7 linked regions of the Oryctolagus cuniculus genome follow. The protein of the gene in region 1 interacts with the protein of each later gene in a pairwise test. Links are inferred from orthologs where the notes say so. Each region holds a gene or a part of one and is shown in the gene's direction. Other genes may lie near its edges.

Region 1 (4,281 bases):
GTGAGTCAGTGTGAGGTGCCTTTGAGACATCCATGTGGAAATACGGTGGCGAGACAGTGGAAATAAGTCTGGAACTTGGGGAGGGAGTCTAGACCTATGAAATTCAGTTATTTGCTAACTTTGGGGACACAGGTAAACAGAAGATAATGAACAGGACCAAAAATCACATGTAATTATCCTATGGAATGTTCACAATGGTGTTCTGTACCAAGCAGGAAGGACTTCTTAGATCGGCCTCGATCCTACTCTTAAGAGGGAATCAATCTGATCAAAGAGAAAAGCATTCAGGTACATTGTAAACAAATACTGAAATACATTTAGCCCATCTCTGTCCTGGCTTCCTCGGCGACTCCAGCCCCAGCACAGGGAGTGACTCCCTTGTTCACATTCCTCTTTGTCTGGTCCTGCCACATTGTGAACTCTTTCAGAACAGGATTCATGTCTAAACCACCTCTGCACCTGGAGTCAAGAATATGGACTAGGGGCCGGTGCTGTGGTGTAGCTGGTAAAGCTGCCGTCTACGGTGCCGGCATGCAGCTTCAAGTCCCAGCTGCTCCACTTCCCATCCAGCTCCCTGCTAATGGCCTGGGAAAGCAGTGGAAGATGGCCCAAGTCCTTGGGCCCCTGAACCCCCAAGGGAGACCCAAATGAAGCTCCTGGCTCCTGGCTTTGGATCGGCCAAGCTGGACATTGCAGCCATTTGGAGACTGATCAACGGTTGGAAGACCTCACTCTCTGTCTCTGTCTCTCTGTCCCCATAACTCTTTCAAAAGAATAAATGAATCAAAAAATGGAATAATTCAATTTCCTGATTCCCAGCCAGCAACACTAGCATCATCCCTGACCCTCAGTCTTATATGTCGTAAGCATCATCCCAACTGCAGATTCTGCTCGAGTAGATCTGAAATGAGCCCCCGAACGATGCCCTGGTAGCTGCTCCGTGGACCACACTTGGAGTATCGAGGTCACAAGCATGATGGTTCTTAACGTCAGTGGCGTATTAGACACATCTAGGAAGATATTCAAAGTATTATTGCCTTTTGGCAAAGATCAAGTGCGAAGTACTGTGTCTGGATCCCAACCCCGAGTTTATGATTTAACTCATTTAAATCTCCAAGATGTAAGCAGCAAGGGTCTACAGTCAACAGTTTTACATATAAAGAAACCAGTCGGGTTGCTTTTTAAGCGAATTGTTGTGAATATCAGAATAAACAGCTCGTGTAGGGTTGTTAAACGCAGGGCAGCAGATGTCAGTCCCCGTGGGGCAGAAGCCCCGCCCCGCCCCGCCCTCCGGCGAGGCCCCGCCCAGCCCCTCCGGCGAGGCCCCGCCCCCGGCCGGCGTTCCCCGGTCGCTCCTTGGATCCCGCCACTTCTCTTTCCGCCTCTAGACATCCACTTCCGGCGCAGAACGGGTCACGTGCCCGGATATGGGAAGCGGTGAGGAGCGGCCGCTTCCCGTTCACCGGTTAATTGAGGGGCACAGCCTGGGAGCGGTGGTCGCAGCGGCCGCACCCCGCTTCCGTCTGGGAGGACCCGCCGCGGCACAGCTGGGCTCGGTCCGGCCTTGCGGTAAGCCTCTGGCCGCGGCTGCCCAGCAGGCCCGGCGGCGGCGGCGGCGGCGGCGCCGGACCCGAGAGCGGACGGGCAGCCGCCGCCCACTCGGCGGTCAGGCCCCGCTCCCCGGGTCCCGCAGGCTGCGGAGCGGGGAGGGCGGCGCTCGCTCGTCCCGCTGCGGCCCCGCCCCTCGCGGCCAGGTTTGTGCAGACCGGCGGTGCTCGCGCTGTCCACGGCGTCGCCCCGCGGAGGAGGGCGTGACACCGCCCTTCCGCTGGCCAAGTCCACTCCCCCCACCCCGAGTCTGTTAAATGCATTCCCCTGTTTCCGTGCACGGTCTCCTGTGGATGACCGTGCTCCGTGCCCGAAACGTCCCAACCCACACGCGCCTTTAGGGTCACCGGCTGTCGGCCAGCGCGCCGAGAGGGTCCCAGCGGGTTTAAAAAACAAGAGCGACACGCAGTTAGGCAGTGGCGGGCTGCCTCTGGAGCGTAGCAGCCGCGGGTCCCCGGGCCGGGACAGGGCGGACCTGTTGTTGAGTGGCTTACAGAAAAGCGCTCCAAGGACTGGCCCCCTGAGCGCGCACCTGCGTGACGGGAGCCGCCGCTGGGGCCCAGAACAGCCTGGCCCTGGGTAGGCATCAGTAAGTGCCGAGTGATGTCCAGCCGCCTCATGTGCCCGGTGCTCAGCCCTAGCTGTTGCCGGGAGGGTGACTTTGGCCGCTGTGAGTGGTTCTTTGGACCGGTTTTTCCTCTTCAGGTTCCCTCGAGAGGTGTTAAGTACCTGCTTAGTACTCACATCTAGTTGAGCGTGTCTCTCTCTAAGAGGGTTGGAGAGCCAGGAGCTGCTGATCCCCGCCAATGCTCAGTGGTTTAGTCCGTGCAGCAGGTGCACGGCGAGATGAGTCCGGATTCAAATCACCATTGAATGAGCGTCATGTAAACCGTGTGGTGGTGTTAGGGTTTGGGTAGGGAGGAGATGATGTTTCCCGCATGGGGAAGTGCCGAAGCAGAGGTTTAGAGCCCAAAATGAACAGAGTGCTTCCAAGTGGATGCTTTGTATTAGGAAAATGCTGAACAAGGGTGTGGTGTGATGAGATCTACCCCCCCCCCCAGTTATATGGTTGTTATTCAGGGTTGTGGGTGCTTGCAAAGAGATACCCAGATGCTGTGCTGTTGAACAGGTAGAAGTGGGTGTGGGCCTGGGTTCCTGTGTGCATGGCGGGGACATAAAGGAAGGAATGTACCTGTAGATGGGGGGAAGCCCCAGAATGTGGCAGCAGGTTTCTTGTTGACCATGGAGGAAGGACTCAGGACGTTCTGAACACGACATTTGCTGAACGAAGGCGGGGGGGTCTTGAGGAAGCTAAAGCTGCTGGTTATTTGGTGCTCTCGTGTTAGTTATTAAATGCCTGCTGGGTGCCTTTTGCCAAAAGTTCTAGGAATACAAAGGTGAATGAGAAACGGTCCTTGCCAACCAGAAACTGTTTCTGATGGGAGAGGCTGATACCAGCAGTCAGAAAAGACGATCCGAAGCGCGCTGTGTGCAGGGTGGGGGGATGTTGGAGACCTAGAAAGGGAAGTATGCTTCGGGAAACACTGCTTCCCGGAAGAGGTGACACTCTAGCAGGATCCTAAGGAGTGAGTTGCAATCTCTGGGGAGAGGGAATTCCAGGAAAAGGAAATTGCGTGAACGGAAGCCCAGAGATAGAAAAGTAGACCGGGGCGGAGAGTGGAGTAGCCCCTTTAACAGTGTCTAGGCCTTGGAATGTACGAAGGGATCGGCAGCATGGATGCTGCGTTTTGAGTGGGATGGGTGAATGGTTAGAGAGATGGAAGAGGAAGAATTGGGGAGAATTGTACCTCGTGGCTTCTCTTTTCTGCAGAGTAGGCAGTGAAGTCCTATGCAGAGAGGGAGGAGGCTGACAATACGGTTGCAGGCTGAAAGACGATAATAAGGATTTGTAAACAGTAGTGATGCAATAAATGTATTAAAGAATTGCTGAGCTGCCTTCAAAGTCCAGTTTTAGCTGGATCTGTTAGAAACGAATGCAATGCACGTGGGTATATGGCTTTGAAACATAGAATCTTATAGCTCAAGAGAAGTAGAGGAAAAACATGTAGGTTTTTCAAGGTTTCTTGATAAAATAGGATAGCCAGTCTACCAAGAGGGTAAAATAAGAAAGAGGATAGTGTGGGTACTGGGAGATGAACATTGCCTGTAGCCTGGCTTGGGGGCCAGATAGACAAGAATAATGGGAGGGAGGGTGGGAGAGTGAGGAGACCTGAGGCTGAGATGAGCTGAAAGAGGAACAGAAATGCAAAGATGGCATTCTGGGGTCGTGTTATAAAAAGGCGTTATAAATCGTATATATAAAACTCACAGTTTCTTCATTTTCCCATAAAAAATGGTGTTACTAGCAGAAATTAATGTCCGAGGCAAGCTCACATTTGCATTGGAAAATACTGATATATAGCCATACAAACATGTCCCTTATGCTTGAAAAATGAAATTGAGACGTTTTTAAAAAATAGTTTAAATTGACATTTGAAAAAGACACCGATTTATGTGAGAAAAGGGAAATAAGTGGCAGCCTACTTTTGTTACAGCTTTATTGAGATAATTTGCATATCATAAAATTCAGCCTTTTCAAATATATAATTCTGTGTCCTTTAGTGTATTCACAAGATTGTACTCTTTGAACGATCACTGCTGTCTAATTCAAGG
Region 2 (4,105 bases), on another chromosome or scaffold:
AACGCACCCCCTCCCCCGGGGAGGAGTTGCTAGGCCCTGTGTGTGTGTGTGTGTTTCTTTCTTTTCTTTTTTTTTTTCATGCAGAAGATTGCAGGGAATGTCTCGCAGCTCCTGCGTCTAGCTGCGTCTGGGGTGTGGCCGTGTCTCAGCTATGGAGCAGGCACAGAGGAGCTGCCCACCCATCACCCAGCCGGGGCGGACCGCAGAGGCCCGGCCCGGTTCTGCTGCAGAGCCCAGCACCTCGACGCTTCTTCCAAGAGGGCTGCTCCTTCCTGGGCCTGACTGCACGGGCATGAGCTGGGGTCGTCCCCCGGGGCAGCCCCCCAGCTGCCCCCGCGCCAGGGCAGGGACCCCAGCCCGCAGACGGCTAGGGCAGTGAGCCCCAGAGATTGGGGGACGCGCCTATCCTGTCCCTCCTCAGCCGCTGGGAGGCAGGGTCCACACCGCCGAGCCCGCGTCTGCGGACCCGAGCCCCCAGGTCACGCTGGCCCCGGAGGGGGCAGTACCCGCCCTGGGGAGCGAGCCGGGGGATGGGAGCCCTCTGCCTCTCCCTCTCTGTCGCTCCGCCTTTCAAATAAACGTGATTTTTTAAAGACTATCTACCTCATAAAATAACTGCAACGGCTAGAAAAATAAAACCAGAATCTTAGCCTGGTGCCTGGCACACAAGCAAAGCTCAATTCGTTGCAGGGGAAGAAGCGTCAAGCCCAGGTACGCGACGGACGCGAGCCGTGAGGAGCCATCAGGCCCCCGAATCCGTCGGCTTCGTTTTTCCCGGTCTGGATCTGGCCTCCGCCTCTGCCCACCCCCTCCAGCCCCCGGGACCCCCAAACCACGCTCCCCTTCGCGACGCCCCCGGCCTCCGCCCCGGGAGGAAGCGGGGCTCGGGTGACCTCAGCATCCCCGGCCACACTGCGGCAGCCGCCCGCGCCCCGCCCTTCGCCGCAGTCCCGCAAGGGCTCCCGGGGGCACGGGGCGCGGTGCAGATGCTCCGCCGGGCCGGATTGGAGGACGCGGGCTGCGGCGAGGGCGCCGCCCGGCCCGCCGGGGCGGGGGCGGCGGCTCCACTGCGCCACCGCCCCCGCCCCCCGCGCGCGCCCCAGTTCCCCATCCCCCAGGGACCCGCCCCCGCTCGCCCCGTCTCCCCCACCCCGCCCCCCGCATCGCCGCTTCGGCTGCTTCCGGGAGCGCTCGGCCCTCTCCGCCGGCCGCTCGGGCGGCGAGCCGGCGGGAGCTCCGCCCCCTCGCGCCGCGCAGGGCGCTTCCCCCGCGCTCGCGCCCGCCCGCCGCGGGAGCGCGCGTTTCCGCCTATAAAAGGGGCGGGGCACGCGCGTCGTCGCCACTACCGGACCGGAGGCCGCGGAGCCGCTTGGGTCCCTCAGCGCCTCAGCAGCCGTCAGCGCGCCGCGCCCACGCCCCTCGCCCCCGACCAGGAGCCGGTGAGAAGGGCCGCGGGGACGCTCGGGGCGGGAGCGGGGCCCCGGGCGGCCGACCCCGGGGCGGGGGCCGCGCAGCCCCCGGGCGGGGCGGGGCGGCGCGCGGACAGGTGAGCCGGGCCGGCCTCGCCGCTCGCTCCGGCCGCCGCCTTTGCGGCGCGCGTGGGCCGAGCCCGGGCGCCGGCGCTGGAATGTCACGGCCGGGGGGAGGGGGCGCGCTGGGCCCCTCCCCGCCCTCGCCCTGCGCCCGGCCGCGGCCCGGCGCTGCCCCATCCGGCCTCGGCAGGTAGCTGGGGGCTCCCTGGTCCGGGTCCGGCCACCGCCTCCTTGCGGGGCGCCCCCACCGCACCCCACCGCATCGCCCCGACCCCTTTCCTGGCTGGGGAGCGGCTTGAGCGGATCCCCACCAGCAGTGCCAGCCCAACCCTCGAGGGAGGCAGGGCCCGCGGCCCGGGGCTCTCCGACCTCGGTTTTATCCTTCTTGGCAATTCTGGACCCTGTCTGGGCGAGGGCGAGGTGGCGGCCTCCTCTTTCCCTGTAATGGACATTTCCCTCCCCAGTTGGGATTCGCTGGCAAATAATGGGGAGATGTTGCACTGGCTTGGTTTGAGACCCGAATCAAATAATAGGTTACAGGCCGCCCCCTCCCCTTTCATTTTTTTCTGAGACGGAGTCTTTCAGGGGGGGAGGGCAGAATATTAATTTGTTAAAAACCCTACGACCAGGCTAGCGCGGAATGACAGAGCAGTCTTTTGTTTGAAAACCATCCTGCGAGTTCGCTAAGACGCTTCCCAAAGAAAATTGCTTTTCAAAGCCTCGTGTATGGGAATAAAATGTATTTTAGATATGGGGCTTGTCAAAGGTGGGAGATGAATACGTTTCTGCTTTATTTCTGAGAAGTCTGCACAGCCCAGAAAGCTGGGGCGGGGCGATGGGCGCGCTGCTGCAGACCTCTGATCTCTTATATAATAGACCCTAAAATACTCAGTCCCTTTGTTCTGGCTTCATCATGGAATTTCAGAAAAACTTGCCATCATGGCTGTCAGGAAGAATAGAGGGAGACCATCTGAAGTATTTCCATGTGTTGAGAAATTGCGTCGTCATAGCAATTGGACTCAAGTGAGACAGAACGCATCGAAGATGGAAGAGGGGGTGCCGCAGCCAGGCGACGCGGACCTGAAGACTGGCGGCCAACGCTGGGCTGTGCGGAGCCCCCAGCCGGGCTTCCCGCTTCTGGAACCGGGCTTAATTCCCTTTCCTGACAGCCGATGTCTTCCATGTTGAAAACTCACCTCGAAGTCAAAGTTTAAAAGACGTGCGGCAGGGTGAAAAAAAAAATGCCGCCCGCCACCAGGGCCTCTGTATAGGAAATGAACAGCAAGCCTTTACTAGTAACTGGGCTGGGAATTCCCCAGAGGGACCCTCGAAGTGTGTCACCTGCTCTCCAGGGACCCACGCATTTGCTGTGGACTAGACAGGGGAAGCAGTCCTGGGGGTAGGCTGGGGCCTGGTAACTGGCTCCCTGATAGGCTTTTGGTCTTGGCAGTGTGTTTCCTCGGAATCTAGTAATTGGAGGAATCTGATATGTTGCAGGCTGCGATCTGACGGGGAGGCGGAGGTGGGGTGAGCGGTTGAAGTGGATCCTTCGGTTCCCTGGGTTAGGATTCTCCTTCCTTGCCTTCGTCCCGGGGTGGGGTTGGCTGCAGATCCCGAGGGAGAAGTCCTCAGGAATAGTCCCCGTCCTGTGGCTGCTGGACCTGCACGTAGGGCAGCGGGCCCCAGGGCGCCTGCCTTTACAGTCAGTCTTCTGTGGCCGTGGGAGGCCTCCAGCAGTCACGCAGCCGGGTTTGCGTCTGCCCATCAGCTGTGGCCGAGCAGTGGAAGAATGCGGCGCCCTGGTGGCCCTGCTGACTCCAGGAATGTGTTGGAGGACCCAGACCGCATAGCTGATCACTTGAGCCACTTGACTGGAGCAGCTGGGCCGTGAACCGTCCCCTCCCTTCCACCTGCTTTGCATATTCCTCCTGCACCAGTTTTGAACAGGAAATAGTATTTTGTCAAAGGCGTGTGCCAGCCAGGCCCAAGGCAGTGCGCTGCGGCTCCAGTCCTTAGTTTCTGATGATTTCATGAAATCAATGAAGGGATTTAGGAATCCAGTCCTGGGGTTCTCAATTAATTTATCAGAATGTGGGTCAAGGGGAGGGCATGTTTAGTTTTAAAAGTTTATTCACAAAAGAATAAAAAATATATCAATTCACGCCTGTCAGGCTTCCTCCACCCGACAATAAACCTTGCCTCTAAAAAGTATGTTCAGTATTATTACTCTGACAAGTGAGAGAACAGGCTCAAAAGAGGGAACGACTTGGCTACAGTAACACATTTATTTATTTATTTTGGATATTTATTACTTATTTGAAAGGCAGAATTAGAGGCAGAGGCAGAGAGAAAGTCGTCTTCCATTTGCTGGTTCACTCCCCAAATGGCTGCAACGGCTGGAGCTGTGCCGATCTGGAGCCAGGAGCTTCTTCCAGGTTTCTCACATGGGTGCAGGGGCCCAGGGACTTGGGCCTTCCGCTGCTTTCTCAGGCCATAGCAGAGAGCTGGATCAGGAGTGGGACTTGAACCAGCGCCCGTATGGGATGCCAGCACTGCAGGCAGCAGCTTTGCCT
Region 3 (4,379 bases), on another chromosome or scaffold:
CATTGCCAGTGGATGGAAGATCTCTCTCTCTCTGTCTCTCTGTAACTCTGTCTTTCCAATAAATAAAATAAACCTTAAAAAAAAAAAAGAAAAGAGAAAGTAGTGGCTAACAGAAGTAGAATCAATGTGACATAATGACAACCAAGGGAATGAGGAAATTGGGACCAAGGCAAAATAGACATAGAGAAAATTAGATGAAGCTGGGGCTACTCCTACAAGCACCCAGGAAGCCGCCTACCTTTGTAGAGCAGGAAGAGAAGGTGACTTCGAACTTGCCTACTGCAGAGAGCTCACATGACAGGCCAAGTACTTAGGGAGTCATCGGAGACAACCCAGCAGTTCAGAGATGCAAAGCTCTTCCTGCTGATGTTTCTTTCCCACTTCCTCTGGAGGCTACTGGGAACGCAGCACCTTCCTTAGCTCCGCGGACAGGCTGTGGGGAGTCGTTTCTTTACCATCTCTCCATCCAGCAGACGGCATAAACCCCAAAACGCATTTTAGTAATGCCTCTCTCCAGTGCTGATCTAAAGGATGCGCTCAAGTTCTGTCTGGCGTTTGCTTTTGCAGCGATCTCACTTAATCCTGAAAGTGTGGAGCCTTTTAGACCTACTTTTTTTTTCTCATATTAAGCACACATATTATTATCCAAAAATTCAGTCTTTACATACAGAGGTCGATCTAGAAAATGTCAGGCTTTTTTCTAAATATATGAGTATATTATTATATGAAATGTGGGTTTATAAATCCCCCGGCCACGTACAACCTCCACATGTACAACCCATGTGGAGACATGTTAGAAGTGGGTATTTTTCCAACACATTCCCCTTAAATGTTATTCATTGCAGCAAGCTGCTGGGGCCGACAAACGAAGGCGCTTCCAGGGCTCTAACTGCCACCCTGATGCATAAGGTTTCCAAGCAAGAGAGCTCTCAAAATCAAGTCCGGCCACTGAGGAAGGGAGGAGGAGAAGGGGTGGCCTTTGGGGGAATGGAAACCCCAAAGGGGAGCCGGTTCCTGGCACAAGGAACCCAGGCGCGCGGAGGTACTGCGTGGTTCTGAATGTCAGCACTCAGGGCTGAGGCCCCTTTTCCCTCAGCCTCAGCCGGAACCAGGGTGTTGGGGCGGCAGGCTGCGTGCGTGGTTCGGGCAGGGGCACTTGAGCGGCCTCGGTCAGTCCCAGGGCTCAGACCGCTCCTGACTTTCCGGAGCCTGGAGGACGCACGAGCTGACAGGTTTCACCGCGGTCGAGCATCAAATGTTCGTCCGAGCAGCTTCCCACAGGTGTGGTCAGCACCAGCCAGGGTAGGCGGCGGGGGTTGGGCCGAGCAAAGACCTGAGTCAGGGGGCAGAAAGGCAAGGTCAGCGGAGCGGGGCGGGGCCTGAGGTGGGGGGCGGAGCCTGGGAGAGGCTGGCGAGCGGGCGGGGCGGGGCCACAGGTGGGCCGAGGCCAGAGCTGGGCTGCAGGGGCGGGCCCGAAGGCGGGGCCTAGAGCCCTGGGGCTGGCGCGTGCGCAGCGTCTCTCGAGGGGGCGGGGCTGCGCGCGCGCGGTGCGCGGGCCCTGGAGGGCGGAGTCCAGGCGGGCGCAGGCCGAGGGAGGGGGCGCGGTGGCTCTGGGGTCCGGCGCTCCCTCAGGCCGCGGACGCGATGCTGGGTGCTGCGGCTCGGCCGGCGGGATCGGCGGCGATGTGACGGGCGGCCTCTCGTCTCACCTTCCGTCCTCGGGCCCACAGGTCGCTGGGCGACCCGCAGCTGAGGAGGCAGCACGATCCCCGCACGGTGAGTGGCCGGGGTCAGTGCTGGAGTAGGGGCCGGGGTCAGGGCGGGCGCCGGAGGCTGCCTGGGGACTGTGGGGGCGCGGTCCGATCTGCGGTGGCGGTAGAGGCCCGGGCGTCCGGGGGCAAGCGGTGGCGCCCTGCGGCCTCCAGCTCTGCCGCGCGACCCTGCCGAGCCCCCTGCGAAGCGTTCGAGGCCGGCGGGCGTGGACCCGGGAGGCCGACGCCCCCCGGCCCGCGGGGCTGTGGCAGCGCCCCGGGCCTCGGGCAGCTGGGGCTGCCGCCTTGCTCTACGGGGAAATCGCGGCGAAAGGCTCGGAGACCGGTGATTTCAAGAGCCAGGATGCTTGGGAGGGTTAATGGGGAAAGTACCGGCGTTCCCCGAATGAGCGGATATTTATTAACAACAGTTAATAAATGGGCCAAAACAAAGACACACCCTAAGCACCCTAAAATCTAATCGGAGATAAAACTTGGGCCGTGGTGGGGTGGGGAGAGGCGCGGAAATCCCACCGTCCCTTGTAGGTTCAGATGTTTTTCTCTCTCTCCTCCTAAAACATGTTATTTTTATACATTTTTTTAATGCACCCACTTTTTTTTTTGACAAAGTGAAAGCAGGAATGACTTCTTTGAGGTGGTCGGCTTGAGTTCCAGTCTCAATAATTGCAAATTCATCTTTGTAGGCTGCCCAGCCAATTAGGCTTGCTGTCCCCAGACTAGGCCTTCGCAGTGTGGAAATTACTGATGCACGGACTCTTCTTCGTGGCCCCAGATTGAAATGCTGGTGTTTCACTCCTATAGGTGAGAGACACGGAGCCTCAGGCTTTTAAATCCAGGCGTTCGAAAAGGCATCCCTCTTCTCCTGGCCTTGAACTAATTATTGATAGAACCTATTTGGTCATTTAAAAAAAAATAAAAATATCATCTAGTAGACTAGTTAGTAGAGTGGAGATAGAAGCTCCTTAAGCAAAGGGATTTAAGATCTTTCTTTTGCAAATAATAGGTGCAAAACATCTTATCTGATCAGGATAAGGATGTCAACATTCCTGAATGTTTTGCTTGAAGTCAGTCTCAGTTTTATTACTGCTTGCTTACCTTCATTTATTAAATCACTTTACTATTTTCTGTTCTCAACAACACTAACTTAAAATAATCTTTAGGCTAAAAATACACACTTGATTGAACCCTTTAGCCATAATTCATACTGTTTTCCTTCAGTCTTGTATTAACATGCCGTACCAAGAAAGTGCTAGAAGCCATCCTCAGGGCAGGAAATCTCCATTAAATGTTTTTAAACATTATGCCAGACCTGCGTTTGTTGCCTTGACCCAGCTCCTTTGACGTATGGAGGAAGAACAGGAGTGTGATTTCATGACTGGAAATCCTTCAGTGGTTTCCCGTTGTCTTTATTCTCAGTTTCTGGTGCTTGGTCCACCTTCTGGTTTGCCTGCCCTCACTCACCGTGCAGGACTCCTTGCGGTTTGTAGAAGATGACATCTTCCTTTGTGGTTTTGCACTGCTCCCTCTGTTGAGAATTCTTCTTTGCCTTGCAAACAACTTGCCCTTCAACACCTTACCAAAATATTACCTGCGTCTTGTCCAGACATCTCATCCTTCTTTATCGACCGATCCAATAATACACTGTCTGTTGGTTGGTAGTGTTTTTTCTATGTCTCTGTCTCCAGCAGGTTCTTGGGCTTCTTAGGAAAGGCACCTTTGCAGCTCCAGCGCATACTGTTGTGTGGCACAAGTGCTCAGGAAGTGGACTGAATGCGTTTTTGTGAATGCAGCTGTAAGATAGGTGAAATGTGTTAGACTGACTTTCAATATGGGAAAACCTACAAAAGATGATTGCACAGGGCACTAGAAGTAAAGATTGTTGCTGGTTAGGAATGAAATCTGAGGACAGGAAGAAACAACCCATTTTATGATGCAGGGGTAAAACGGGGCTTGGCCAGTAATGATGCTGCTGCATTGGTCCCAGGGCTTTGAGGGACAGTAACTTTTTTTTTGTTAATGGGCCTGGCATGTAACAGCCTTTTTTTTTTTTTTAATTTAATATTTATTTATTTATTTGAGAGGCAGAGTTACAGAATAAAGGAGAGGCAGAGAGGTCTTCCATCCGCTGGTTTTACTCCCTAAATGACCACAATGGCCAGAGCTGGGCTGATCTGAAGCCAGGAGCCAGGAACTTCCTCAGGGTCTTCCATGTGATTACAGGGGCCCAAGCACTTGGGCCATCCCCCATTGCTTTCCCAGGCCATTAACAGGGAGCTGGATCAGAAGTGGAGCAGCCGGGATGTGAACTGGCACCCATATGGGAAGCCGGCTGGCTTCGCACGTGGAGGCCTAAGTTACTACACCACCGTGCTACCCTGAGGGGCAGTAATTTGCTGGAGATCTGGTAGATAGAAAAGTACAGAGCTAAGTACAGTCCACATCTTCTGATTATCTTTGTATTTCAGTTTTGCCCCAGTTTCCTAATTGTGAATCTTAATTGTTTTATAATCTGAGTGGGGTAATGAGAAACTTGAGTGTGTGTTGGAAAAGGAATCTACTAGACTTGAAAGAATTGATTATTTCATTCAATTATAAAACATTTTGACT
Region 4 (4,168 bases), on another chromosome or scaffold:
AAGCAAGTCAGAACATCTGCAAGGCAAGCTGTTGTTTTGCTTTATGCAGCCAGCAAAAACACAGCCCTCGGTTAGGTTGTAATGATAAAAGCAGCTGGTTTTAGGGACTCATAAAAACAACTCACCCTTATGCCTCGAGGAATAGAGAACATGCAGAGTCTGCATTGTGCTGCCAGTGTCAGGACAAATCATTCTGTTCTGTTTTGCAGTGAGACTAATTGGTGCCAGTGGATAAGTGAAGGGAGAAATAATTGCACAGACTTGAGACCTGTAGCTTGGGGGGATGAATAACTGTATCACAACAGCATGAGTTCTTGCTTTCACTTTGTACATTTATATAATTTTTAAAGATTTTTATTTATTTGAAAGAGTTAGAGAGAGAAGGAGAAGCAGAGAGAGAGAGAGGGCGAGAGCGAGTTCTTCCATCTGCTGGTTCACTCCCCAATTGCCAATTGGCTGCAATGGTCAGAGCTGCACCGGTCGGAAGCCAGGAGCCAGGAGCTCCTTCCAGGTCTCCCAAGTGGTGCAGGGGCCCAAGGACTTGGGCCATCTTCCACTGCTTTTCCAGGCCACAGCAGACAGCTGGATCTGCAGTGGAGTGTCCGGGACTCGAACCAGTGCCCATATGGGATGCCGGCATTGCAGACAGCGGCTTTACCCATACGCCACAGTACCAGCCCCTATTTATATAATTTTTGAAAAATTTAGAGGTATAACATACTATAAATTATATGTGCAAGTTTTCTACTTATGGTTTAAATCGTGTGGGATCTTACAGATCACGGCATCTTTATTTTTTAAATCTCTGTTTTGGGGGGCAGAGTTAAGTAAAGGGATGAAAGTTCACGTAACGCAGTCCTTTAAATCAGTTTGGGGATGGTTAATTAATGCATTTGCACGTATGAAAGAACAGTGAGCGCTTCTTAGTTACCTGGCACTGCTGTGGCTGCCTCTCCTGAGCTCCCATTTAATCCTCCAGTCTCTAGGAGGCAGGAATTGTCCCGATTTTCAGATCAGGAAACCGAGGCACACGGACACCACAGTAGAAAGCACACAGAATACAGCGCCGGGATGTGGAGTTCGACAATGTGACTTGGGCGGTTACGTCCGCTAATCACTGCATTAGATTGTCTTTGGGCTCTTTATTTATACTTGGCTTGCTTAGGATTCAAATTTCCTTTTGGCTATTTCCGGGCCATTTTTATCACGTCGTTGAGACGGTGTCACCGTTTACAACGGCCCTTCCGTAAGAGGACTGAGCGCACCGCCCGGACACTTCCCGGATTCCACGTGAGTCAGAAGTCGCTCAGCGCCGCGCCGGCTCGGCTGCCCCACCCGGAGCGGCGGGCGCCGTTGCCTAGCAACAGCCGCGCCACACCGGAAGCCGAGGGGGTTTTCGGCCTGCGCTCGGCCGCGGCCACTTCTGTCTGAAGCGTCGGAGTTCTGGATAGGGCATTGCGCTTCCTGTACTGCGCCACAAGTGGCGCTGGCCTTCCTCTCCCTTCATATTTGAATTTAAAAAAACTTGGAAAACCGAGTTTGTGGCAGCAGAGGGCTAGGGATCCGCTCGGCCGACTGTGTCGGCACCCCTGGGTCGATTTCTCTCAAGCCTGTTCCCCAAGGGCTGGAACCCAACGCTGCTCTTCCGTGGTCTTGAGAGTTGTGACTTGAGTTCCTAGCCAGCCGGGCGGCGTTCGGCCCCGCCACGTCTGAAAACAGTCTTTGCTGAGGTGAGCGCAGACCAGACGGGCTGGAGCCTGGAGAACGGAAGCTGGGGACACAAGCGAGCGCACTTCACAGACGCACAGAAACAAGGAAGCGGGAAGGGCCGCCGCGGACGCCAGCGCGCCCCCTCAGGATCCATGAGTTACTCCCGAAGCTCTCAGCCCGACTCCGGAGCCAGACCGGACGCCGGGCGGGGCGAGGCAGCGCGTTCCCGTCAACCTTGCCAATCACGCGACTCGGCCCCGCCCCGCCACATGACCTTCCCTGGCGGAAGCTCGCGGTCGCGCGCTCTAGGGGTCTCCGGACACGCGGATTCGCGCGCATCAATCTAGCCAATCAGGAGTCTCTTCCGCTCCCGTGCGGCCCCGCCCCTTGGAGCTGCATCGGCTGACGGCCGCGGCTCCGCGCGGTGTTTGAATGCTGTGGGGTTGGCGGAGGGCGGTAGCGTGCTTCGGCCCAGGGGGGTGTCTGAGTGCTGGGCTTCGGGGGCTTGCTGAAAAGCCAGGTAGAGGTTCCTTTCCGCAGTCGGGGGCCCTCGACCCTCCCTCAGGCCTGGGGTGTCTGGAGGGCCGGCGGGCTCCCTGCATGGGGGAAAGGGGAGTGGCCGCCTCTCTGGTTCTACCCCACCGAGTTGGAAGGGACAGCTTCAGTCGACTTCCCTCTTCAGTGTCTGTTCGCTTTTACTCTGAAAGTGCAGACAGGCGTGATTTTTTTTTTTCTTTATATTTTCTTGTTTCTTAACGCCTGGTTCTAGTCAAGCGGCTTTTAGGGTTCGGGATGATTGACAAGTTCAGGTCCGATTATGCCTTTTGAGCCCACTTAGGCCATGTCTCTTAATTATGAAGCTGTCACAACGAAAGAATCACTATCTAAAGTTGTTATTCTCCCTTGCCCCCGTAATGGAGACTTGGAAGATACTTCATGGCTAACAAGTCTCGTTTCTATGAGATACTAGTAGGTTAATTTGTCATGAAAAAACTAGTTGTCCTTGTGTGGGAAGGTAAGTGAAAAACTCCAAAAATAGCGAGAATTAACTAACAAATTAGAAGAAAAAACAAAAAACAAAAAACTGCTGGCCCAATAAAGAAATACTTGGATAAAAATGGAGGACTTTAGAAAGGTATGGTTATTTTGAGTCCCATTTCATAATTACTTTTTCTGGTTCTAGAGGTAACCCAAGATTTCATTTTCAAGATGGAAAGCCCATCAGACTCAGCGGTGATTGCACCTAGCACCCCACAGGCCTGTGCGAATCCGCCATCTTCCCTTGCAAGGAGCTCAGGAAAACAAGTACGGAGATCTTATTCAGTCTTAAGTATCGGCGGGGTTTAACTCCAAAGATTGTTCATTAACGTGCAGATATTTTGTTAAATAGTCATTTAGTTTCTTCTAAGATACAGTGTGTGACCAGCCCCTTCCAGATTTGCATACTGAGCCAATTCATTTAGTTTCGGATTAGATTATTGCAACACTCCAAAGTGAGGAAGTCTGGATCTGCGGTATTATCACGGTGAAGGACTTTGGTGGCAGTGGGTCTTTCCTCAGTCTGCTATCCTATAGCATCTGGTGTAGCAGGAGGTATGGGCTAGATGCTGAGAGAAGTTTGATTATTGGGATGACTTTAGAAGGGTGTTGACCTGGCTGAGGTAGAGAGGAAAATTAATGGAACTTCTGGAAATTAAAGACATTTTGTGATGGTTACTTTAGATATGTGGAGACAGAAAGCCCCCTAGTGGTGTCTACTATAGAAATGTAAGGCTTTTATTTCTAGCACATTTCTTTACATGAAGACTTGGTTAACATTTTTAATATTTTGTTCTCCTTTCAGCCTATGAGTGCAACACTTAGAGAAAGATTAAGGAAAACAAGATTTTCATTTAATTCCTGTTACAGTGTGGTAAAACGTCTTAAAGTTGACAATGAAGAAAATGATCAGAACTTGTCAGAGAAGCCACCCTCTGCCACAGAAGAAAACTGTTTGGAATTTCAAGAAAGTTTTAAACGCATAGACAGTGAACTTGAAGAAAGTACGCATTTGAAAAATACATTCCAGAACGTCAGTGCATGTGAAGCTACCTCACTTGATACAGGGTCATGCAGTGTTCTCCAAAATGACTTCATGAAGGAGAATCTTCCTATACAAGGACTGAAGGAAGAAAGAGCAAAATTGGTGAAGCAGGTTCAGGAAAAAGAGGACCTTCTTCGGAGGCTAAAATTAGTCAAAATGTATAGATCGAAGGTAAGAGGAATTTTTAACAATTTTTTTTAAGATTTATTTTATTTATTTGAAAGAGTTACAGAGAGGTAGAGACAGAGAGAGAAAGGTCTGCCATTGCTGGTTCACTCCCCAGATGTCCGCAACGGCCAGAGCTGCGCCAATCCGAAACCAGGAGCCAGGAGCTTCCTTGGGGTCTCCCACGTGGGTGCAGGGGTCCAAGGACCC
Region 5 (4,130 bases), on another chromosome or scaffold:
GGGAGATCAAGTACACATTGGGAGTTATGAGAAAAATATTTGACTAAATACACAGAATATAAAGTATAGTCATTCTAAAGACACTACATTGTGGGGCTGGTGCTGTGGCATAGTAGGCTAAGCCTCTGCCTGTGGTGCCAGCATCACATATGGGCTCTGGTTCTTGTCCCTGCTGCTCCTCTTCCAGTCCAGCTCTCTGCTATGGCCTGGGAAAGCAATAGAAGATGGGTCCCTGCACCCGCGTGGAAGACCCGGAAGAAGCTCCTGGCTCCTGCTTTCTGATCGGCCCAGCTCCCACCATTGCAGCCATTTGGGGAGTGAACCAGTGGATGGAAGACCTCTCTTGCCCTCTCTGTCTGTAAAGCTACCTCTCAAAAAATAAATTTAAAAAAAATCTTAAAAATATCCTGTTGTATCTGAATAATTTTTATGCCAACAAATGACATCAGCATTATTAAAAACACCTAAAAAGTTCCCATTTCAAGATAAAAAAATTATCAGAACATTCTGTAGTTTTTCCAGAAGACGCAAATGGAGAAATGAAAAAACCTAAAGAGCAAGGCACTATATAAAGACCCAGGACTTTCCTCATCCATTAACTAAATATTTTCATATTTCCTAGGACTGGCGTCAAAGCGATGTTCTGAAATGGGAAAGATGTCTGAGTAACTCGGAAGTGGGGTGGCGGAGAGCTGGACAACCCTTATCCAAGGTTAGGTTTTGGTTTGTCACAGCTAATCCTGCCCCTCCGATTGCTGAAGCCGGTGTTGCTGGCTCCACTTTTCAGACGAGCACTCTGAGATTCAGCACGGGTATTACCCACGCTGACGAGACAGCCAAGATTCCGGCCCAACTCGAGTCCGGCTCCCTTAATACCAGCGCCCATAATGGTCTTTGTTATTAATTCACACAGACTGAATGGCGATGGATGAAAGACGCTGAGGGGACATCGGTGGGGGCTTCCGGGACAGCCGCTGCGCCCCTCCCCGGGGGCAGGTGGAGGCGCTGCCCTCCTTGGAATCGCAGCGGCGCTTTTTGGGAACAGTCGTCTGTCAGACCCTGCACTCCGCTGAGGACCTCACTTCTTAGCAGAACCCCACTGGGTGGGGGCTATTATTACTACTCTGTATTACAGGTTGGGAAACTGAGCCGCAGATAAGCTGTTCTCTTCCTCCTGCGTACTCGACTAGCGAAACGCTCAATAAAGCGCTAGTTCGCGACGCTTTCTCCGGACCGGCTACTCTGCAAGGCCACACACAACCCGTCTGCACCCCCACCGCCGAGTGACGTCACGATGACCAACCCCACCGCGACGCCGGGCCGGCCGCCGCTGCGGATGTCTCGCGAGAGCCATGGCTTCCTCCAGCCTGACTTGGACATGCGCGCGGCGCACGGCGCTACGGCCACAGCAGTTTGATGGTTTTCTGTCAGTCTGTACACTAGAGCTTTGAGAAAGCACTTCTAACCTTTCAGCCTCCCGAGATATCGCGAGACTTGCTATTCTGCCACCGCCCCCCCCGCCACCTCCTTGCGCCTGCGCAGATCTCTTCAAAGCAGAAGGTCGCGCTTGGAGGAAGTGGCGGCTTTGGGTCCCGTGACCGGAGCGCCGTTACTACTTTTCTGAAGCTCCTCTCGGCCGCTTGCCGAGACCACCTGTCGCCAAGATGCCTCGAATTATGATCAAGGGCGGCGTGTGGAGAAATACCGAGGTGAGTCTCTTTTCCCGCCGTCCGCTGCCCTCCGCCCCCTCCGGCAGCTTGTGCGCACGCGCGCGCGCGGGGGCCGGGGAGCGGACGAGGATGCCCTGCGGGGTCTGCGTGGGGTGGGCCGGGCCGCGCAGCGCCAGGGCCGACGACCCTCGGCGCCTCAGCGCTGTTCCCCGCCAGGGGTGACGGGAGCGCCCCAAGGACCGGCGGCTCGGCTCCGAGCTCACCGTCAGGCACTTGTTAGGCCCTTAGCGAACATTTGTTGAGTCGAGGCCGCGCCGCCCCGGCCCCCTTTCCCCGAGGTCCCCACTGGGTGGCAGGAGGGGTGGGACATCCAGGAGAGGTGATCTTCCGGGACGCTACCCCCCCTCAGCTCGCGGCTGTCTCTGGCACCCCAAAACTAAAGAACTTGGTGCAGCCACAACTTTGTTTCTTCGCTGACTTCTTGCAGAGAGGGGAAGCAGCTTGCATACCGAGTTCTCGGCGCCCGTTTCTCCTGCATCCGTCGGTTTATCCGTCAGCCAGGCACAGCCTGTGCGCGCTCTCCCGACAGATGCCAAGGCCTGTCTCTCTCTTAGCTTCCCGTCTCTCCGCCTTGGCATGGCTTGAAGCCAGATAGGACAGACTGCTGCGGGTAGTGTCGTAGTGGATCGTGCCATCTGAGAGCCGGAGAGCAGTAGAAAGGGAGCAAGACAGAAATGAGATTTGAGTGCGTTTCGTGTCGAGTGCCCTGGATCGATCAGTTTCTGAGCACGGCTTATCTCGTGTCTTTTATTACCTCTGTGCCTCCTTGCGGTATCCTCGACCCGCTTGGCATCCTCCTGACCTGGTTCAGAAGCCCTTGGCGGCCAAATCTTCGCCTGTTCAGCCTGTGAGCGTTGGTAGCACCCCCCTGTGGGCCCACGGTGCCTGTCATCCACTTGTTGTCGGCTTGCTTTGACTTTTGCCAGTGTCACATCCTTGGGAGTGATGCTGGCAGGTTTCTCCATTTCTCCAAGCCTTAGATTCCTCATGTTTCTGTGGGGATTAAGTGAGCTGCCACATTTGGGACATTTGGAACAGTCGGGAACACAGTAGCCTTTCAGCCAGTGCTAGGCACCTCTTACCTCTCCAGACAGCACTGGGGGAGGGGAGGGGAACAGGTCCTGCTCTTCCTGGAGCACAGGAGAGTAACCAGCGTGAAGTAGTAGGTTGCTTGGCAGATGTTTGTGGAATGCATCTCGGCGGGTACGCGGGACGTAGCTGTGATCTAAGTATTAGAGGTGCAGCACCACGTGACAGATGAAGGCAGTGCAAGTCCCCTCCCTTGTGCTGAGGGAACTAGGCTGTTTGAATGGAGAGGAGTTGACTTGTGAGGGAGAGACCCGTGAAAAAATCAAGTAGTAGCAGGATTCCTGTGCTACGGTCAAATCTGCTGACAGATTTCTACAGTTGGCTGTGGAACAGAGCCTGCAAGTGAAATGTCTCAAGTGCATTCACATCTGGCTCCATCGTCCTCCGCGCCAGTGGCTTGGCTTGCCAGGCTGCTCTGGGATTGGTACATTCCGTGTTTGGGTGGCAGCCCTGGTGAAATAGTATCTAGAGTCTGGGGGAGACTGGAGAGAGATGACTTGGGAGGGGTTGTGGAGAGAAATATTTGAATCTCAGGTTAGAACTGAGATATGGTCTAATCTGAGATGTGGATTCTTGGGTCGTGGTGGGGCGGATGGGGCTGGGGAGGAAAGGCCGTGCTTGAACTGGAGGCAGGAAGTGTGAATTGGAGAGTGGTTTCATCTGAGTCCCAACTTGCTTTTTGAGGCCTGGATGTGTCCTATTCGATTCTCTCCCCAAGTATACAAGACCTGGTGCAAGGCAAGTGTTCAGGAAGTGTTTTCTGAGTGAAGGTGTAAATGAATGAGCTGTGCCTGCTTGAAGAATGACAGCCACATATTGGAGAATACTTTTTGTTAATCTCTGTCCGAAAGTAGGGTTGCTCAGAGGTGGTTGTTCCCACACACAATTGGGTGTGTGTTTATAAGGAACAGTAAGATGTCCTAAGGAATTTCTTAATTTCTTGCATTTTGCTGGTTGCTTACTGTTTATCATTATGGTCAGTGAGGTTTTTTGTGTGTTTAAAAATTCTTATTTCTTAAGTACATTTGAAATATTTATTTTTTTAAAAGATTTATTTTTTATTTGTTTGAAAGAGCGATGGGGGTAGGGAGGTGGCAGGGAGAAGAGATCTTCCATTTGCTGGTTCACGCTAGGCCAGGAGCCAGGAACTCCATCTAGGTCTCCCATGTGGGTGGCAGGGGCCCAAGCACTGGGGCTGTCTTGCACTGCCTTCTGAGGCACATTTAGCAGGGTGCTGGATTAGAAGTGGAGCAGGTGGGACCTGAACTGATGCTCCAAGATACAAGATTCCAGCATTGCAAATAGAGGCTT
Region 6 (4,394 bases), on another chromosome or scaffold:
TTTTTCTTGGGGGGGGGGCGGATTTCAAGTGCGTGAGCTTTGTGGCTGCTACATCAGCGAGCTTCTATACAAGCTGGCTACTGTCGCTCCCCCTCTTCGCGGAAGAACGACACAGGACCCTGCGCTGTTCTTTCGTCTGCTCGGCCCTCCCCGGGTTTGCTGCTGGTTCTTCCCGGGTTGGCTGCTGGTTCTTCCCGGGTTGGCTACCGTCCCTTCCACCTCCGTGGAAGGGCGGTGCCCCCTGCCACTTTCCCCACTTCCGCGGGGGAGCGGCACACCGCCCGCCCGGCTCTCTCGGGGGCTTCTCAGGTGTTCCTCTTAGATGTTCCTGGTGCATCTTGTCTCTCTCCTCCTTTATAGTCCTCTTCCACCAATCCCAACTCTGCTACCCACATGCCGAGCACGCTGCTCTCCTCCAATCAGGAGCAGGTCCTACTGTTTATTGGTTGAACTGGAGGCAGCTGTGTAAAAGTTGTTTTTACTCCTCTCCCAGCGCCATATTGTGGGAGAGCAGATGCGTAGAATAAGTCTTAATTCGAGTAACTTAGTCTAGTCCGAGTTGCTCCCCACAGGCTACAAGTAATTTCCAACTCAGAGCTAAGCTTTTTGAAAAGAAACCGTGTTTTTACTTCTCCCACTGCTGTTCATGCAAACTGAATTCAGTGTGTTGCTTGACTGGATTATATGATTGATCCATTGGTTTACCATTGGATTAAGAACTTGACATTTGCCTCAGTTACTCACGGACACCCCCAGTTTCCTTGGGTTTCTTAGGCCCTGTGACTTCCTGGAGTTGATTTGACTGGGATGATCAATAAGGCATGAGATTGTGGAGAGACACAAACTGTGACTTGGGTGACCAAGTAAGTTTCTCTATCAGGACCGGGCACGTGAGCAGGAAGCTGGAATCTGGAGTGGAGCCGGGACTCGACCCAGGTTCGTGATGTAAGGACAGAAAAGCGGGACAACGAGGAGACAGAACAAGGACTCACAGCTAGAATAGGTTTATTCAGAGACAGACCAGAGAGGGGCTCCCTCCTGGTGAGCGTGCAACAGAGAGCCACCTGGGAACACACAGCAGGGAGGGAGTGGGCCCGCACAGACTGGTGGCTTATATAGCTTAGTGGATGGGACGGCTTGGGAGGAGCTTGGCTGGGCTGGGCTTCTGAGATAGTGGCTAGAGCTTGGGCTGGAGGCAGCTCCCTCGAGAGGGGTGTGGCTGGTGAGGGTCTTAGAGTGGGGGGAGCTGGGGCTAATGGCTGGACCCTTAAGATGGGGTTTGGCCGACGGTCCTAGCAGGGCAGGGCTGAGTGAGCTGAAGGGGACCGCAGGGAATTGGGGTACTGCTGCCAAGCGCGCAGGTGACAGGCGAAAATAGCTCTAAGGCTTTTGTTTCTGACCGCTGTGCCAAAATTCTGATGCAAATAAGAAGCGAGAGGCTCTTCACGTGGCTCAGCAGCTTTCACCGGAGCCCAGGGAAAGTGCTCTGCAGGGCCAGCGGCGCGGGCCCGGGGCCCTGAGCGCGGCATCTGGGCGGCACTAGGACCGGGAGCGGGGCCGCCCCGCGCCGCACGCCCGGGGCGGGGCTCAGCTGTGCGGGAAGCCGGGGCCGGGCTGCCCGGCCCGCCCCTGGAGGCGGACCCCACTTGACTTAAACTCCGGGGCCGGGAGGCGGCCGCGTTCCCCTGCCTGCCTGCCTGCCGGCCGGGGCTGTCCTCCGCGTCCGCGGTAAGTGGGCGGCCGGGTACCGCGCGGAGCCTCGCTCGCCTCCCGGGGACGGCCAGGCGGGGCGCCGCGGGCCGGGGCCGGGCGCGCTGGCAGCCGCGGGCTTTTGTTCTGCGGCGCGGAGCGAGCGGCGGCCGCGGGCAGCTCCAGGCCCGGCCCCCAGCCCTCCGCGCCCTCGGGCCGCCGCCCGCCGCGGTCGCTGCCCGTCGGGGACGCAGGGGCGGCGGGGCCGGAGAGGACACCGAGCCCCGGGCGCGGGGCGGGGCCCGGGCGGGCGCACGCGGTGTCGCGTCGCGGCGGACCGCTCTCTGTCGCTGGAGTGGAAGAGTGGGGAGAAGAAAAAAGGACCAAAAAACCCCCCACACCTTTGTTTTCCTTTCTGTGTGTCCCCGCCCCTGTGCAGCCGAACCCGGGGCGCGGGCGCTCGGCTCGCGCGTGCAGGCGACCGTGGGCGCGCCCGTGCGGAGGAGCCGGGGTCCCCGTGCGCGAGTTCGCGCCTCGGGCAGCTGGGGCGGCGTCCCGCGGGATGCGCGCTCCCCGGGGACTCGCTCGGTGGGCCTCGAGCGCCTGCCTGCAGGAGGGAAAGCAGGTGATGTGAGTCTGCTCGCCGCACGAGCCGCTCGGCAGCTGCGGGTTTCTGCAGAGCGTGTTGACTCTCAATCAGGATGGAGTTGCACTGAGTGACGTTCCTCCCTGCCCCCTCCAGCCCCGGTAGTCGCGTTCCCTTTCATTAATGCCAAAGGAACATCGCTGAGATGGGACGTTTCTGCTCCGAACTGAGGGAACCCGGAGAAGTGTATGCATTGTAACCTAAGGGAATGGCGTTTTGAGCCCAGATCTGGCTTCTGTCCCGTTCTAGCACCCTTAAGAATGCAGTGTGTTTACTGTGCTTTCAGGGCAACCTTAAGGGACACAGCTGCACAGTCATGTGTCATGTCAGGCAAACGCGTTAGCTAGCGGGTCCTGCCACTCATCACACAGTGATTTTTTTTTTTTTTTTTTTGCTCTCCCTAGAACCAAAGAAGTGTAGATACTGTGTGCACTTAGACTGGCACGTTTGCAGGGCAATGGAAACAAGCTTACTAGAGAAGAGTTCTAGTTGAAGGTAAGTGTGATTTAATCCCCTGACCCTTCCCTTTCAGCGAGTAATTTATCTGTTGTGGAATAAAATGATTAACTCCAGATCAACACCGGTTGAAAATTAACCACAGGACACAATGGGGGTGGTGTTACAGCTGCAGAAGGAACGGGGTAGTTGGTGTGGTGCTGAGGATCCAGCCCTTCATCGCGGCCCCAGAAGGAAGGGGTTGCTGGGGCGGTGGAGTGAGTGGTGGGGGAACCAGTCCTGTGCAGGCCGAGTGATGGTCTCTGGGCATCCACCCTGCAACCCCTTGCTGTGCCACCTTGGGAAGATTGGCCCCTAACTGTGTTCTCATCTGTAAGAGAACAGTAGCACCTACCTCATGGGATTACTGAGACAAGGCACGTGGGTTTCATACACAGAACACGCTTAGAACAGGTCCTGGCACGTAGTAAATGCTCTGTCCATCTTCACTGTCCTCATCATGGGCAGTGTCCCGCCATCTGACAAGCTTACACTATCTTGCAGGAAATTCAGTGCACTCATTTTTACCAGATTCTTGAGCTGTGTGTTGATTAAGCAATCACTGTAGATCCTGCGGGGTCTTTTTATTGGAGGGGGAGGTGGTCCTTCTGTTAGGAAACACCAATCACTTGTTGGCCACAGAAGGTTTTGCCTGCAGCCCTGTTGGAAGCACAGAGTGCCCGCCTTGTGTTCTGTGGAGGTTGGCTTTTTCTGGTTACTTTCTGGATTATCAGCGGTTTATTTCAGGAGCTCTTGCTTAGGGAACTGATCTAGTCCTGTTTCTTTAAAGGTAAATTTCAAGAATCTTTGTTTTGTCTAACCAGGCCAGCTCCCCACCCCCAACTATTCAAGAAGACACAGAAAGCATTCGGTTTGAGATAAAGGAAGAGTCTCTGACCAGCCCTGGCCATAGAAATGCAAGTTAAAGTTTCAGTGAAGAATCCTTGAAAGGAGGAGGAAGTAGTCTAAGGAACCTTGAGAAATTCCAAGAGCATTGTTGTGGGCGGCCCTGCCCTAAGTACTTGCAAATGCTGGGCGCTGGGGGAGGCTGGCCTGCAGAGGCTAGTGTGTCAGTGAGACCAGAACCACGCTTTTGCTGCTCTGTTCGAAGCCTCCCAGAATCTGATGACAACTTAGATTCTCCTGGGATGGATCGGATTACAAGGCTTCATTTATAAATAAACTCTTGTGGTTAAAATTGCAAAGTGTGTTTAAAGAAATTGTATTGTCCAATTAAGTGTTAAGAAACAAAGTATAGTCAGATGGTGTGTGCGTTTTTTTTTTTTTTGGGGGGGGGGGTAAGCCCCAAGGGAGAATTTATTAGGTTACGTAATTTTGAAGTTGTGAATGGAACCAGAATGTGAATCTGAAAGTCTTAAAGACTTTGAACAGAACAGTATCTGTGGCCTCTGCAGAGATGTCAGTAGATCCCACAGCCCTCCCTCCACTGGGCGGTACTGCCCTCTCCAGATGTGTATCTAATCAGCTGCAGGCAGCCTGGAGCAGGGCAAACAGCCGCCGGCTCCACTCTCCACTCTGTGCTTGAGGGTATCTGTGCTCTAAC
Region 7 (3,597 bases), on another chromosome or scaffold:
GCTCCCCCCGGGACGCGTGGCGAAGCCTGCTCTGCGGGTGAGTTCTGGACGTCACAGAGACTCCCGGCTTTCGCCTCTCCTGAGAGCCCCGAGATGCTGACTGACAGCCCCGATGGGCTCTGGGCCTGCTGGCCGGGCTCCGTGCTACCTTCACCTTCACTGAAGTTGCCGAGGCTGGGACTTGTGTTCTAGTTAAGAGGAGGGTCCAAGGAGAACGTCTTACTGGCTGGTGTCTGGGGATGTGTTAGACTGCGTAGGAGGGATGGTTTTGTTTGAAAATATTTGGGACGTGGCAGAGTGACTGTTTCCCCGTCAGCACAGAAGTCCGGTTTCTGTCTCCTGGTGACTCCGGCTGGGGCCCTGCACAGCTGTGCGTCTGAAGTGGCAGCATCGTCGCAGCACAGAGCGAGCACTGTGCAGGTGTGAGGGGCTGCGAGACCCTCCCCGGGCCCCAGTGCGAGTGTCGCGTCAGGTCAGGTCCCGCCTGGGGAGGCAGCAGACCAAGTTCTGACCCGCACTCTGCTATGTCCACCTCCCTGTCTGGAAGAGAGGAGGAGGAGCTGTTCTGAGGAGGTGGAGTGGTGGGGTAGCGGGTGGCACGGAGCCCATCTGCACGTCCCCACCCTTGACAGAGCAGCCGAAGGTGTCAGAGATCTGGGAACAGGTGCGTGGTGCCCGACCTACAGCGGGTAATCCTGCTGATACAATCTTGTGTGCTCATCTTTAACTTACAGGGATGTTTCATTATTGAGAGATTGAATAGGTGTTCTTTGCTTTGTAGTCTTTACGGAGGAAAATTTTGTTGATAATATGTTCTGTTTATAATCATGATTTTATTTTTAGAGGATTTTATTCATTTATTTGAAACTCAGAGTTACAGAGAGAGGGAGAGAAAGACAGTGAGAGTGAGACTGAGAGAGAGAGACTGGGAGAGAGATCAAGAGATCTTGCATCTGCTGGTTCACTCCCCAGATGGCCACAATGGCCAGGACTGGCCCAGGCCAAAGCCAGGAGCCAGGAGCTTCTTCTGGGTCTCCCATGTGGGTGGCGAGGGCCCAAGCACTTGGGGCATCTTCTGCTGCTTTCCCAGGCCGTTGGATCAGACTCGAGTTGGCACCCATAAAGGATGCTGGCTTCTCAGATGCCAGCCTTAACTGCTACACCACAGCACCAGCCCCGGGATGTTTTCTTAGAGACTTGGTCTAAGGTGTGAGTTGGTATTGATGGATTCCACGTATGTATGAGAGTGTTTTCCTGACCTAACGTCTGAAGTGTTTGCGTAAAAAGAATCAGCCAATCCCAGCACATGACCTGATGTTTCCCTGTGAGCACAGGACGGGAGGGGCCGCTCCATCCTAACTGGCTCTGTGAGCACAGGACGGGAGGGGCCGCTCCATCCTAACTGGCCCTGTGAACACAGGAACAGTTTTCCTGGGGGTGTTGGGTGTGCTGTGCACTGCACGCCTCACCTCCATCCCCGTATTTCACCGGGGTGTGTTCCCAATGAGTTTGGCCCCACGTGGAGTTTTGTGTTCCAGATGGTCTCCCGGGAGGCGGGAGTGTTTTGGTCCTTGCCCACCTGCTCTGCCTGTCTGGGATGAAATCTGCCCTCTGGAGGGCCCTGGGTCGCAGCGGCAGCAGCAGCGTGTCAGAGCTGGAGCAGTGATGAGATGCTCTGTGGGAGGAAGGGAGGAATGCCCTTGCTGTGGGCCAGTGAGCGAGGCCGGCGCTGCGGCACAGCAGGTAAAGCCACTGCCTGCGATGCCGGCATCCAATGTGGGTGCCGGTTCATGTCCCAGCGGCTGCTCTTTTGATCCAGCTCCCTGCTGTGGCCTGGGAAAGCAGCGGAAGATGCCCAAGTGCTTGGGCCCCTGCACCTGCGTGGGAGACCGGGAAGAAGCTCCTGGCCTGGCCCTGGCTGTTGTGGCCACTTTGGGAGTGCACGAATCCATCTCTTCCTCTCTCTCTGTACCTCTGCCTTTCAAAAAAGAAAACAAAAAAAGCCTTGAGGCATTTTCAGATGTTACAGATGTGAATAATTCTAAAATGTGATTTTGTTTTGTAGTCAACAAGCTCCGGGGAAATATCTAAAAAGTTGTCAGACGCATCTTCGAAAGACCCCAAAGCCGAAACAGAGGTAGACGTTCAAGGACAGCAAGGGGAAAGGGGGGGTTGTGGTGAGGGGAGTGCTGTGTGCTGGCAGGTCCACTTCTCTGTGTTGTCCTGGTAATGGCGTGGGGGTCACCGGCTGCCAAAACAGAAGGCCGATTATCTGCCGGCACTCCTGGGTGACTGCTATTTTCTCTGAATTGGGCTGTTGAAGCATGGTGTGTGAACTCTTCCTGTGAGAGCTGTTTGCAGATGCATTTCACCAGTGTAACAGCCACGGGACCCTTTAACGCGATTTGCCCAGGGACAGACTGCATATCCCGCAGTGGCCCTGTGAGGTTATTGTGCCGTCGTGGTTTGGGGAAGTCCCCTCCGCGATGTTCACACCAGCACACCGCCTGGCTCTGGCGCCGTGTCCCTGTGAGGCGAAGTGCTCCTGCGCCTGCAGGGTGTGGTGCTGGGGCCTCTGGGAGCAGGGCTGAGGGCTCTGCAGAGAGAGCGCAGGGAGGGGTCCCGCTCGGCCTCCAGTGCCTCCCTGCACCGTCGGAGGCCGGGGGGCACCGGGGCTGTGTTTCAGGCTGCTGCTTCCCCGAGCAGAGCCTGAAGAAGCTCTGGGCTCACTGTGTAACCATCCGTTGATTTTCTTTCGTTCTCTTTTCTTTAAGACTGAGGTTTCCACTCGAGCACCCAAGTCGTTGACATCAAAGCTGTCGAAACGGCAATCCAGAAATTCAGTGGAAGGTACGCTTGACTTGCTCTACTCGTGTGAGAAGCTAGAAATATGTCTAGCCCTGCCTCTGTCAACAGTCTAGCTGGAAGAAACTCCCATGGCTGGGGCGCGCATCGGCCACGTCTGGGAAGAAGCAGTGACCGTGGGAAGCATGGGGTTTGTGATTCACACGCACGTGCATGCGTGTGCACACATGTGCATGCTCACAACACTGGGGCGGAGTCAGCCCTCTTTGCTGGAAACGTGGGTGATTGGAGAGGGTGGGATCCAGGTTCATGGTCCAGAAACACCGGTGAGCCGTGCGGGGTTCCTTGGCCCCCATCTGCGGCAGCGGCAGCGGCAGGCTGTGGTCCATCAGGGCAGGCTGATGTGGGAGCTGGTAGGCAGATGATGTTTCTGCACCGAAAACAGAAAGCACGGCGGGGCGCCCTGCCCGGGGTCTGCCGGGAGCCGCTCGGGCCAGCGGACGAGAGAGGCTGCAGACACGGCCTGAGCGCGGCGGGCAGGTGCGGGCCGCGCTGTGGAGCCGCTGGTGTGGAGGCCGACGTGAGTGATGTTTGAGTGGTGGTGGCTTCTGGAAAGTCCTCCTCTCCCTCCCTGTGGTCGCTGTCGTGAAACACGCGTGCTGAGCTCACCGTGCGTGTGCCAGAAGCCCCTGCCCTGTGGGGCCCAGGGCGGGCCTGGGAGCTTGCAGCCACCGGCTGTCCCTCTGCCTCGCGCCTCCTCCAGAGAGGAAACATGGAAAATTTAATCACTGG

The links.
Region 2: the proteins of EXOC1 (region 1) and SPTAN1 interact in a two-hybrid assay, tested with the Homo sapiens proteins (2 studies listed by BioGRID and IntAct). The link is inferred for Oryctolagus cuniculus from reciprocal best matches to the Homo sapiens genes EXOC1 and SPTAN1.
Region 3: the proteins of EXOC1 (region 1) and CCSER2 interact in a two-hybrid assay, tested with the Homo sapiens proteins (2 studies listed by BioGRID and IntAct). The link is inferred for Oryctolagus cuniculus from reciprocal best matches to the Homo sapiens genes EXOC1 and CCSER2.
Region 4: the proteins of EXOC1 (region 1) and SFR1 interact in a two-hybrid assay, tested with the Homo sapiens proteins (2 studies listed by BioGRID and IntAct). The link is inferred for Oryctolagus cuniculus from reciprocal best matches to the Homo sapiens genes EXOC1 and SFR1.
Region 5: the proteins of EXOC1 (region 1) and CDC5L interact in a two-hybrid assay, tested with the Homo sapiens proteins (2 studies listed by BioGRID and IntAct). The link is inferred for Oryctolagus cuniculus from reciprocal best matches to the Homo sapiens genes EXOC1 and CDC5L.
Region 6: the proteins of EXOC1 (region 1) and RESF1 interact in a two-hybrid assay, tested with the Homo sapiens proteins (2 studies listed by BioGRID and IntAct). The link is inferred for Oryctolagus cuniculus from reciprocal best matches to the Homo sapiens genes EXOC1 and RESF1.
Region 7: the proteins of EXOC1 (region 1) and TRAF3IP1 interact in a two-hybrid assay, tested with the Homo sapiens proteins (2 studies listed by BioGRID and IntAct). The link is inferred for Oryctolagus cuniculus from reciprocal best matches to the Homo sapiens genes EXOC1 and TRAF3IP1.

What each region holds. Positions count from the first base shown.
Region 1 is NC_091439.1:108,641,430-108,645,710, reverse strand, and holds the start of EXOC1 (exocyst complex component 1), read left to right. Parts: upstream 1-1,429; 5' UTR 1,430-1,569; intron 1,570-1,719; exon of another isoform or gene 1,720-1,754; intron 1,755-4,281.
Region 2 is NC_091432.1:231,818,426-231,822,530, forward strand, and holds the start of SPTAN1 (spectrin alpha chain, non-erythrocytic 1), read left to right. Parts: upstream 1-1,287; 5' UTR 1,288-1,439; intron 1,440-4,105. UniProt on the Homo sapiens protein: Fodrin, which seems to be involved in secretion, interacts with calmodulin in a calcium-dependent manner and is thus candidate for the calcium-dependent movement of the cytoskeleton at the membrane.
Region 3 is NC_091446.1:74,659,874-74,664,252, forward strand, and holds the start of CCSER2 (serine-rich coiled-coil domain-containing protein 2), read left to right. Parts: upstream 1-1,542; 5' UTR 1,543-1,776; intron 1,777-2,455; 5' UTR 2,456-2,573; intron 2,574-4,379. UniProt on the Homo sapiens protein: Microtubule-binding protein which might play a role in microtubule bundling.
Region 4 is NC_091446.1:25,895,578-25,899,745, reverse strand, and holds the start of SFR1 (swi5-dependent recombination DNA repair protein 1 homolog), read left to right. Parts: upstream 1-1,364; 5' UTR 1,365-2,142; coding exon 2,143-2,230; intron 2,231-2,236; exon of another isoform or gene 2,237-2,694; coding exon of another isoform or gene 2,695-2,725; intron 2,726-2,893; coding exon 2,894-3,015; intron 3,016-3,553; coding exon 3,554-3,964; intron 3,965-4,168. UniProt on the Homo sapiens protein: Component of the SWI5-SFR1 complex, a complex required for double-strand break repair via homologous recombination. Acts as a transcriptional modulator for ESR1.
Region 5 is NC_091436.1:125,737,832-125,741,961, reverse strand, and holds the start of CDC5L (cell division cycle 5-like protein), read left to right. Parts: upstream 1-1,326; 5' UTR 1,327-1,664; coding exon 1,665-1,709; intron 1,710-4,130.
Region 6 is NC_091440.1:128,140,472-128,144,865, forward strand, and holds the start of RESF1 (retroelement silencing factor 1), read left to right. Parts: upstream 1-1,577; 5' UTR 1,578-1,728; intron 1,729-2,739; 5' UTR 2,740-2,830; intron 2,831-4,394. UniProt on the Homo sapiens protein: Plays a role in the regulation of imprinted gene expression, regulates repressive epigenetic modifications associated with SETDB1.
Region 7 is NC_091434.1:2,077,790-2,081,386, reverse strand, and holds part of TRAF3IP1 (TRAF3-interacting protein 1), read left to right. Parts: intron 1-2,065; coding exon 2,066-2,137; intron 2,138-2,774; coding exon 2,775-2,850; intron 2,851-3,597.